Astyanax mexicanus: one gene and its partners. The protein of the gene in region 2 purifies or fractionates together with the protein of the main gene of each other region. This does not show direct contact. Links are inferred from orthologs where the notes say so. Each region holds a gene or a part of one and is shown on either strand. Other genes may lie near its edges.

What was found.
Region 1: the proteins of slc30a5 (region 2) and mettl9 purify together in Homo sapiens (co-immunoprecipitation; 3 studies listed by BioGRID and IntAct, with this or other methods). This does not show direct contact. The link is inferred for Astyanax mexicanus from reciprocal best matches to the Homo sapiens genes SLC30A5 and METTL9.
Region 3: the proteins of slc30a5 (region 2) and csgalnact2 purify together in Homo sapiens (co-immunoprecipitation; 3 studies listed by BioGRID and IntAct, counting the BioPlex papers as one, with this or other methods). This does not show direct contact. The link is inferred for Astyanax mexicanus from reciprocal best matches to the Homo sapiens genes SLC30A5 and CSGALNACT2.

Annotation. Positions count from the first base shown.
Region 1 is NC_064422.1:28,298,393-28,302,148, reverse strand, and holds the start of mettl9 (methyltransferase-like protein 9), read left to right. Parts: upstream 1-1,371; 5' UTR 1,372-1,524; intron 1,525-1,687; coding exon 1,688-1,852; intron 1,853-3,321; coding exon 3,322-3,512; intron 3,513-3,756. UniProt on the Homo sapiens protein: Protein-histidine N-methyltransferase that specifically catalyzes 1-methylhistidine (pros-methylhistidine) methylation of target proteins.
Region 2 is NC_064408.1:19,571,418-19,575,173, reverse strand, and holds the start of slc30a5 (zinc transporter 5), read right to left. Parts: upstream 2,850-3,756; 5' UTR 2,460-2,849; coding exon 2,389-2,459; intron 2,149-2,388; coding exon 2,026-2,148; intron 1,613-2,025; coding exon 1,546-1,612; intron 1,448-1,545; coding exon 1,362-1,447; intron 1,254-1,361; coding exon 1,166-1,253; intron 1,072-1,165; coding exon 984-1,071; intron 1-983. UniProt on the Homo sapiens protein: Together with SLC30A6 forms a functional proton-coupled zinc ion antiporter mediating zinc entry into the lumen of organelles along the secretory pathway.
Region 3 is NC_064414.1:37,655,882-37,659,637, reverse strand, and holds the start of csgalnact2 (chondroitin sulfate N-acetylgalactosaminyltransferase 2), read right to left. Parts: upstream 2,455-3,756; 5' UTR 2,308-2,454; intron 1-2,307. UniProt on the Homo sapiens protein: Transfers 1,4-N-acetylgalactosamine (GalNAc) from UDP-GalNAc to the non-reducing end of glucuronic acid (GlcUA). Required for addition of the first GalNAc to the core tetrasaccharide linker and for elongation of chondroitin chains.

The DNA of each region.
Region 1 (3,756 bases), on a different chromosome or scaffold from region 2:
AAGGTGACTTAAGTGCCTAAAGCACAAACAAAAAACTAAGTAAAAAGTAAATGTAACAAAAATAAATAAATAAAAGTAATAAAACTTCAAAAACAAATAATATTCGAAATGAGCATTTTTTTTGGAAAATATTGTTTGGAGACTAAATCAAATAATAATAATAAAAAAAACAATAAAACAATAAAAATGCCAAATAGAATTCCTCCTGAAATCTTAAAAAAAGTTGAGTGTCTTAATTGCTTAAAGTAAAAGAGCAAAATAAAAATAAAAAAGAAAATCCTCAAAAGAAAAACTTTCAAAATATGACCTTTTTAGTGTCTAAAACGCATCAAGTAACAATAAACAAACAAAAAAAGGAAAAGAAAACAATGATATCCACATTAAGTGTCCACAAAACTTAGCTCAAATAAGTCAAATAAAATAAAATTTAAAGGGGGACATTTTATAAAAAGTGGACTAAATGTCTAAAATATATTGAAGTAAAACAGTAAAACAAACAATAATGAGTAAATAAAGTTGAAAGAGTGTGTAATTCCTAATTTATAAATTCTTCACTTTAACCCAATTGAATATTTTATTGTTAACAGCATTAACAAGTATATAGTTATATAGTTAGTTTAACTTTTTCTTTATTTTACTGTTAATTCCCAGATTTGTAGTGTAATGATTTTATGTTAAATGTGAAACTCAGTGAGAGGAGGTGGAGCGCCACCTGCTGGGGACTGGAGCTGATTACACGCCTCTGGATTACACTGATGACGAAGGAATTCATATCAAGAGTTGCCAGATTCGCGTTTTTGCGCCAAATCGGGCTTGTTTGAAAATCCATTAGCCGGTGAAAAGTCTGGGGTGGCAAGGTGCGTTTTGGGGCTACTTTTAAAAATGACAGCGTCCGCCAAAAAACAAAAAAGCGGGGTTCGTCTTGTTATGTCAAACGTGTACGAGTCGACACTAAAATAATTAATAATTGGAAGATTGATTACATCAATAAGAACCAGAAAATGATGGAAAAAATATTAAAGAGAAGAGAAGAGAGTTCGAGAGGGGCAAGAACAGAAAAGAGAAATTAAACGTTATTGTTTTGCTAATTATGTTACTATTAAATGTTCTTGACTGTGATATAAAACTGCTGTAAAATAAATAATAAAACACTAATATTACAATATTATTAATGACTTTAAGATAAATAGCAATACTGGTAATAAATCCCTCATAAACAAAATACTAAGTCGTACACTCGAAATTTGCCATTTGCTCCGAACTTGTGATAGACACGTTAGGCTTTTGAAGGGAGGATTTTAGACTGACTTTGGGCTGGATACTTTTGTTGGACCTGGCAACCCTGCATCTAACCCAGGAAGCGCTTCACCTCCACCGGCTCTCCGTCATTACTGTAGTGCAGTAGCTGTTTTAACAGCAGCGCCTCGCTGATGCAGCGCTTTATTAACGCGTTATCGGTGTGTTTTTGGGATTAGCGATTCTCTGACAGAAGATGGGGTCCTCTAATCTCCACCACGCCTTCAGGTCTGTGTGTGTTTGTGTGTTTTTTTGGGGGGGGGGTATTTAAGTGTATTTATACCTGCAGCACCTGGAGTAATGTTCCTCAGGGAGTTGTAATAGAAGAGGAGCTGAGGTCGCTCAGGACCTGTGTGTGTTATTTATTTATCTGGCTGTGTGCTCTGTACAGATGAGGGCTCTGCTGTTTGGAGGCTGGGTGGTGCTTTATGTGGCGGTTCTGCTAGCAGCGCGGAGGAGGATGTGGTCTGGGAAGTACGTCCGCAGTCCTCTGGCTCGAGCCGCGATTATGAACATGGTGACCGACACTGAGTTTACAGGGCCAGACTTCCAGGAGGTAAATATCCCTTCTTTTTAACGTGAATTCAATAATATACCTATGTAATATACATATATAATGTGTTTGCTCAGATTTACTGAGGGTTTAGTGCCAGGATGTAAGGACTGTTCTATGTCAAATATTAATTTCTGAACTCTTGAGCTCTGGGAAAAAAAATTAAACCACTACAGTTTCTGAATCAGTTTTTATGATTTAGCAATTTATAGGTATATGAGTAAAATGAACATTGTTTCTTTATTCTATAAACTACGGCCAACGTTTCTCCCAAGTTCCAAATAAAAATATTGTCATTTAGCGCATTTATGTGCAGAAAATGAAAAATAGCTGAAGTAACAGATGCAGAGCTTTCAGACCTCAAATAATGCAAAGAAAACATGTTCATATTTACAAGTATTAAAGATGTCAGAAATCAATATTTGGTGAAATAACCCTGGTTTTCGTGCATTTTGGCATATTCTCCTCCACCAGTCTTTCACACTGCTTTTGGATAACATTATGCCACTCCTGGTGCAAAAATTCAAGCAGTTCAGTTTGGTATAATGGCTTGTGGTCATTCATCTTCCTCGTGATTATATTACAGAGGTTTTCAATTTGGTAAAATCAAAGAAACTAATGATTTTTAACGTGGTCTCTTAACTTTTTCCAGATTTGTATATATATTTCAATATTTCAGTGAATATTCATGAGAAGGATTTCTCTGCTTAGGAAAAAAAACAGTCTAACCAGCTTGAGCTGGCTAGACTGGTTGCCCCGCTTAGCTGTTGTTCAGGAGCTACAGAGCATGCTTTAGCTTTAGTTTTGGGTTTGATGGTTTAGCTGGTCTAAACCATGATCCTATTGACCAAGCTAAACAAATTAGTGAGCTAGCTATGACAGCTAGGGGGTGGGCGATATGACCCTAAAATATTTTAGGGTCATATTTTGTTATATAGGGTTATATAGGGTATTTTTGTTATAACTATATTTTTGGTGATATAAAAACCATGGTTTTGTTTTAAATTAAATTAAAGATTATTCTGCTGTAACTGTGCCTGTCACAATAGTTACATTATTGACTTGTACAATAAATTTCACACAACCACCATACTATTTGATAATTGTGATTAGAGGTGCGACATATTGTATTGTACGCAATAATATTGGCAACATTTTTGAATAGTGTTAAAGATATTATACCCTGAAATATCGTGCATATCACCCACCCCTAATCATCACATCAGGGTACTACTTTTCTGGCTGTTTTTAGCAAAAGTAAATTTTACACTGTTCTCATTTCCCATTATATTTCTACTAGAGGCTGATAATATCTATCCAGTATCATTCGTTTTACTTTAAACCTGGAGACATTTGAGTGCAATATTAGTATGATGATATTCTGCGTCATTGACTTTTGTTACAATAGATGACCAGCTTTTCTTCATCAGGGATGTGCATGTGATTGATGGATGGGCCTTGTGTAATTTCAGTGGTACCGTTGCTGTCCTGATATGCTTGGTGAGAAGATTCGACCACTGTTTGTGCAGAGTAATTTAGACACAGACACTCAAACCTTTCTTGAAAACAGTGTAGAGAAATCTGGATGGCTTTTCACACAACTCTACCACTCGTTCTTCTCCACCATCTTCAGTCCCATCATCTCAAGAACGTCCATTAATGGGTAACTCGTAGCAACACTTTGTTCATTTTGTTTAGAGATGTTGACTGAATGTATTTACACAGGCACAACCAACATTTAATCACAGATGTGATGTGATGAAGATTTAGGTGTTTAAAAAAGTTATTTAGTTCTAATTTTTAAAGACAAAACCATATAACATTAAGACAGAAATGTAATTTTGTTTACCTTAGTATGTTTATCAGTCTCAGTGACAGCTTAATATTAGTTGTAGTTATTATTAACC
Region 2 (3,756 bases):
AAAAACATAATTTTTTTTTTTTTAATCAGCTTTTGTATTGCACAAATGATCAAATTTGTAAGATCATGTCATATTAACATTCTGCCTAAGGTCACATATCAAGACTTTACAGTCTCTTACTCTCTGTACCAGATAAATAAAACCAAACTGAAAAAAAGTGCAAAACTATTGGATTTTGTAAAATGTTTTAAAAGAGAAAAGTATGGCTCCGAGTGGTCCAGCAGGCTAAGTGCTACCACTACGATCAGGAGCTCGCTGGCCCAAATCCCAGTCATGCAGCTTGCCATCAGCTGCCAAAGCCCTGAGAGAGCACAACTGGCCTTTGCTCTCTCTGGTTGGGTAGATGGCGCGCTCCTCCCTTATCACTCCAAAGGGTTATGTTGATCAGCACAAGGCTTCTGTGAGCTGATGTATCGGAACCGAGCCGCTGCACTTTCCTCCGAGTGCGCTGTGATGCTACTCGACAATGCTGCATCAGCAGCAGATCTAAAATAAGTGGTGGCTGACTTCACATGTATCAGAGGAGGCATGCATGTGCTAGTCTTCACACTCCTGGTGTTGTAGCATTACTAGTGATAGGGGGAGTCCTAATGAGTGGTTTGGGTGTAAATATTGACTGTGTTAAAATGTAGAAAATCACAAAAAGGAGTTGCATTGAAGCATGCATTTAAAGGCTTGTAAGACACTTGTGATACTATAATGTGCATTTTGAGTGATTCTCTGTGCAATGTAGCGGTAAGCTGGTACAAAGAGTCAATAGACTTGTCTATAGTTTTTGAAAATACTCTGCTAGAGGGTTCTGAAAACAATACTCTACAGACAAAAAGTTGGCAACATTGGGTAGAGATCCACAATGTCTGCATCAAACAACTACTTAGCCTGAAAAAAAGAAAAGATGCATTCCACATCGATATTCGGATATACAACAGATTATCAATTTTTTTTGTCTAAACACTTCACACTGACACTGGAAAAAAGGATACGGTGTTCAGCCATTTTTGCCATTAAGTCATCATTATCAAACAGCAGCAGACAGATGGCCGCAATGATGAAGAAAGCAGCGCCTCGTGTCTAAACAAAACAAAACCAAACAATCAATCAAACCAAATTCATAAATAGTCTTTGACAATTTATTGCAAATAGCATCAACTTCAACATGTCCAACCTTAGAGGGTCCTCCTCCAGAGCTGGTAAAGAGAACGCTGAGAAAACAGATGACCACCACATCACTGTGCTCAAACAGCAGCAACGTCCTGCAGAAATAAACTCAGCTCAGTTGCCTGGTCATGATAAAATTACAAAACTATAAACAGGATAGAGTTTAAGTTTAAGAGTTTAATAGCTGTGGGTCACAGACTCACCTTAGTGGTCCACAAAGTGTAAGCCCAAAAAAGCCTATGAGTGAGATTATGCAGCTGATAACAGCATGTTTGAGGATTTTGATCCACTGAAAGAGAAGCATTTGGTAGTGATGTTAATCGTCAATTTGATACACTGTTTAACAAAGTGTTGTAAAATGTTTAGCAGTATCTATCCAACACATACCTGTCTTTTAGAGACTATTTTTCCTGATGAGAATGGTTTTTGAAAGAAAAGTAAAATCACTGCACACCTGTGTTAGAGAGACATACCGGAAAGGAAATATGTTAGGAAATGTTAGCATGTACAAATGGATTTGGTTCATATTGTAAAGTCCCATCCTCTTGCTCCTCAACTATGGAATTCTCTCCCATCTGCGGAAAAACAATCTTCCTTTCTTTCTATGTTTAAATCGAATCTCAAGACTCACTCATCTATGGCTCTCCCTCGGTTTAATGTGCTCTACCACTCATATCTGCTGTCTAGTTGTCATACTACTGTTAGGTTGATGTGTCTGCTGTTGCTTGTTGTTTTATTGTTTGTATCTATGTTTCTACTAATGATGATTGTAAGCGTCTTCAGGTTTTAGAAAAGCGCTATATAAAAATAAAGTTTTATTATTGAATGTACTGAATAAAAAGAAACAAAAAAAAAAAAAACACTTACCCAAATTTAAGAATAAAAAGGAATTGCACAACATGTACAACTTTAAGGAGATCATAGGATTCAAAGATTCCCAGAGCCTTCAACAGCTTGGTGAGTAGAAGTAGGACTATATATCTGGTCAACCTGAAATTAACAAAATAAACATGAGGCCAAGATATAAAACATCAACAGAAATTGAACAATTATATTCTCATTGCATTTGACAACAGATCTGTCACAATAACTCATTTTATGGATGACATACCGTCCCAAAAAACTGTGATTAAACAGTATTATTGCCATTCTAGGGAAATGTTTATGCTGTTGGTATAATGATAATACAATCACAACAGAACAGAATGAGACCTTTAAAGAGCCGGTTACCTGGCATTAGGCACTTCAACTCTCCCCAGTTTCCCCCCGGAGATTACATTACTGCTGTACTTCTCATCCATCGTGTTTCTGCTGGACTGTAAGTTAACTAACCTGACCAAACTGCTTCATATAAACACAGGTACACAGAGCTACAGTACTCTATAGTAATAATTATCTCCAACAGACTGACCGCTCCGTACACTGACTACAGCTACAGCTAACCGGCCCGAGGGCTCGGACCACAGCACAGCATTCTACCGCTCTCAGAGGCTTTACGAGCCGCTGCTCCCGATATCAAGCCCGCCGAGCGCCCCCAGAACAGCCGTGAACCCCGAAACACCCATTACTCCTCTATAAATCTAAAAACATCTCTCATAATCTACTCATATCTCCTCATAATCAGCGCGAGCCACCGCATCCAGGAGATAATCAACGTCAACACTTCCTCAAACATGGAAGCGACCAGTGCAACCTTTCAAAATAAAAGTACACGGAGATTTTATACATTAAAAGGCATGCAGAGTGAAAGAAAGAAAGAAAGAAAGAAAGAAAGAAAGAAAGAAAATGATTTAAAAAAATAGGATAAGAAAGTAAGTAATGCAACCATGAAATAAAAGAAGAAAATACTATGGAAATATCTATACAAATAATAAAATAAAATAAATAAAAAAATAAACAAAAATAGTTTTAGAAAAGCTTGCTTTAAAAAGAATAAATACATTCAAGATTATTTTATTAATATGTAATTTATTGATATTGATATAATGTGACTACTTTAATACTTAATCTATCCATAATTAAATTTAATTGACATTGATATTGATATTCTGATTTTCTGAAGACCAAACTCTATGTTGTCCCACCCCCAAGCTGAAATAAAAGATTAATTTTGGTTCTTATTGTTATTTTTATGTATTTATTGTAATTATAAAATGTCATTATTTTTTAACAGTTTACATACATTCAGTTACATTAAATACAACTAAACAATTAACATATTTCATATTCTTCTTATAATATCATTTTTATCATTGTTATTGTGTCAGAATTATTTAACTTTTTATACTTATAACAATCATTACTGTAACATAACTTTTAAGAATGAGAGATTGAAGGAATTATGTAGGTATAATAATACCTGTAGATCCTTTTTCTTTGGCTGGATATTATTCAGTCATTTGAATAATCAGAACTCTTGCTGTGTTCTATGAAATAAGAAAAAATAAGATAACAAAATAAAATAATCTAATTTAATCTAATCTTAAACCTTGGTATATCAGTGTGTGAGAGGTCTACTAGTGCTAATTATGCAGTTTATATGCTATAGAAAGAAAGAAAGAAAGAAAGAAAGAAAGAAAGAAAGAAAGAAAGACGAGT
Region 3 (3,756 bases), on a different chromosome or scaffold from region 2:
CTGTTACTTGATGTGCCAACAGAACCATACACAATCTACCACAATCATCCTCATGTGACTATGCTAAAGAGAGTGAGCGTGTAAGAAAGATCAAGTCATCTCATAAACAACAGCAGATCTGAATCAATCTATCTCGTAAGACTGTGTTGGGAAATACAGCCACTGTGTGGACAACAGTTGAGAATGTGAGGGAAACAATTCACATAGACCATTTTAAGTTTTTAGGAACACTGGAGGACTTGCAGAAAAAAAATGCCAGCTCAACTTACAAAAAAGACTTAGTGGCAACAAGAAATGTATTATTTTTATCGCAATTTGGTAGAAAGACGAAAAGCTAATTCTTTGTTATTCTTTATAATACCAAGTATTGGTGTGACATAATGTATCGTACACAATACATCATCAAACACTTATGTTGGGATTTTAAACAATCCATATTGTGCTAAGAGTAGCATTATTTTAAAAGCATAGCTTTGTATAGCTGTACTTTCTTTCTATGACATGTCTACCATAAGCAGATTCCTTCTGTCCAATAATATTTATTTTATTTTGTTATTAATTTGAGACAAATTCCTGTATTTTTTAAATATCACAATATTATGTGTGGAATAAATACAATTGCAATTTGAGTTTTTTTTTTAATATCGTGGAGTCCTAACCCAACTCTTGTCTTGCTTTTCAAAGCAAAAAGCAAGAAATTGCAAAACCACAGTTTAACTATTTTATTGAACAATAAACATTAACACCCAGCATACACAACACCAAAACATAAATAATAAATAAATAAAATAATCACTGTTCACTAAAATAAATGTTCTGTTTTATTTGGCAGCCATTGGCTGTGGTGTTTCCCTAATCATTAACAAAATAAAAAATATAACAGTTAGTTACAGGTAGTTAATAAACTAATTCTTTTAAAACTGGGTGACAAATAAATGAAAAATGCACAGTTTTAACCTATAACAGTTTTAGCCCATGATGATATACGTCACAGAGACACATACTGAACATCTTGAGAGCATTACTATCAGACCTATTTACAGAATGTAGGAGTATTTTATTGATTCAGCAGGTCTCTGTTTCAACCATTTGAACAATTGCTTTCATTAAATGTTCCCACGAGAAAACATTCCATATAACTAGTCCTGACCTGATTTCTAGAGGTGGATGTTAAAATACCAGTTATGAAACTGGTTGTGTCACTTGTAATCAGGATTTTTTGATTAAAATCATAAGTCATGTTCCCACAATAAAAGAAAATCATGAGGGAGCTGCTCACTGAATTGATCTGATTCACTTTTTTATTTTGGTACTAATATTCAATTGATCTGGGATCCCATGAGTTAACAGCTCTTTGTTTTAAAGAGTACTGTATTAGTTTAATATAATGTTTCAAAGGCAAAAAAATGGGACCTGAGAATTAACATGTAACATGTACATAAGTATATACTACAGCTCTGGAAAAAAATAAAACAAGTTTTTTGATTCAAGAGGAAGATGAATGATCACAAACCATCAAACCAAGCTGAACTGCTTGAATTTTTGCACCAGGAGTGGAATAAAGTTATTAAAAAGCAATGTATATGACTGGTGGAGGAGAACATGCCAAGATGCATGAAATCTGTGAGGATTTTTCCACCAAATATTAATTTCTGAACTCTTAAAACTTTATGAATATGAATGAATCGTTTTTGTTATTTCAGCCATTTCCCATTTTCTGCAAATAAATGCTCTAAATTACTATATTTTTATTTGGAATTTGGGAGAAATGTTTTAAATACAGAGGCATGTTCCCACAATAAAAATCACGAAAGAGCTGCTCACTGAATTTAGGTGATTTAATTTTGATCTTAGTATCAATATTTATAAATGGGTCTGGTCTGTTATGGGTTAATAGCTCTCTATTTTGAAAAGTGCTGCACCAGTTAAATATAAATGTTTCTTATCTCTATAAGAGACCTGAGACTTTACATGTATGCAGCTTATATAAAGCTTGGTCAAACAATACTTTTAAATCGATCTGAGGAACAATAAAAGCACTTAGGGTTATTGGTTAATCTAACGCGCTGACAATGCCAAATCAGAAGAATGAATGTCTGTCGGTCGCTGCTACAGAATGAGCTGGTTAAATATTGTGTTTAAATGTTATATGAATACAGAGGCAGCTGATGATCTGGCTGAAGGAGCTACAGGAACACAGACACAGAGAGAGAGAGGCTGCAGCAGCAGCTCACTCCCCTCACTAACTCTCCGCTACAAGTTATTTACTGAATAAAACTCAGCACAGCGGCGGCGGCGCTCGCTTACCTCGGATCCCGCGCTGCTGCTCGCGGCGTTAAACGGAGAGGATATCCTCCAGTCTCTGCAAAACAAACGTGGGAACTAAACGCCACGGGGCACAAAACACGGAACAACAGAGAAAAATATGGGGGCCGTTTCCGACTGGGCTTCATCTGGACTACTTCAAAATAAAAGCCCGGCCTCTGGAAAATATACACAGCAACCAGACGGGTTTTCTACGGCGGCGTTTTAGGGCCACTCTTAAAAAAATAAAAATAAAAACGGTTTACTTCGAGAATACGTCTTAATATTACGGAATTAAAGTCGCAAAATTACGAGATTAAAGTCGTAATATTACGAAATGAAAGTCGCAATATTACAAGAATAAAGTCGTAATATGACAAGATTAAAGTCGTAAAATTAAGAGATTAAAGTCATAATATTACAAGATTAAACTTGCAATATTACAAGAATAAAGTAATATAACGAAGATTAAATTCACAATATTACGAGATTAAATTCTCAATATTACAAAATTAAAGTTGTAATATTAGAAGAATAAAGTTGTAATATTACGAAAATAAGGTTGTAAATGTACAATATTAAATTCACAATATTACGAGATTAAATTCACAATATTACAAGATTAAAGTTGTAATATTACAAGAATAAAGTTGTAATATTACGAGAATAAAACTGATGTAGAAATACAAAAGCTTCTTCTTCATAAAGTAATAAAGGAAAATAAAAACACTCATAGAAACACTCAGCCATACATGAATTAACAGAAAATGAAATAATTTTTGACCCATGTTGCGCATTAAGGGGCTTTTATTGAAAAATAAGAACGGTAAAAAAAATAAGGATGTACTATGATTAAAAACAAGTTAATTGAGGAATATCTTGTATACTAAATAATTAAATTATTTTATTGCAAAGATATAGAAAATATAAACTCACTTTTGACTCATTTTAATCTGTTTAGTTAACACACTAGCACATACACACACACACACACACACACAGTGTGAGGACTTGTACCTGGAGCAGTGGGCAGCCTTCGTTGCAGTGCCTGCAGGTGCTGTGGGGGTTGCTTATGGGCCGAACAATAGAAGCTTGCTGAACCCAGGTATAAAACCCACAACCCTGTCAATAATAACGTGATGTTCTAACCCCTTAGTTACCACTGTGCCCGGCATTTATGTCTCTCCTTCTTCTATCACACCCAGTTTAACTAATCAGGTAATTAACAAGCCCTTTATAAGTTGCAGGGGGTGTGTTAAAGCACAGATATCACTAAAATGTAACATCTATGCAGCAAATTATCTAGGAAAATGTCACACCATATGAAATTAGATAAGATTAGATACGATGAAAAGAGGACGGCCTCTACAGCAGGACAATTATCCCAAATCCCAAACATCTCAAAATCTACAATAGACAACCTTTAGATGTACAAGCTGAAAATGTTTTGCC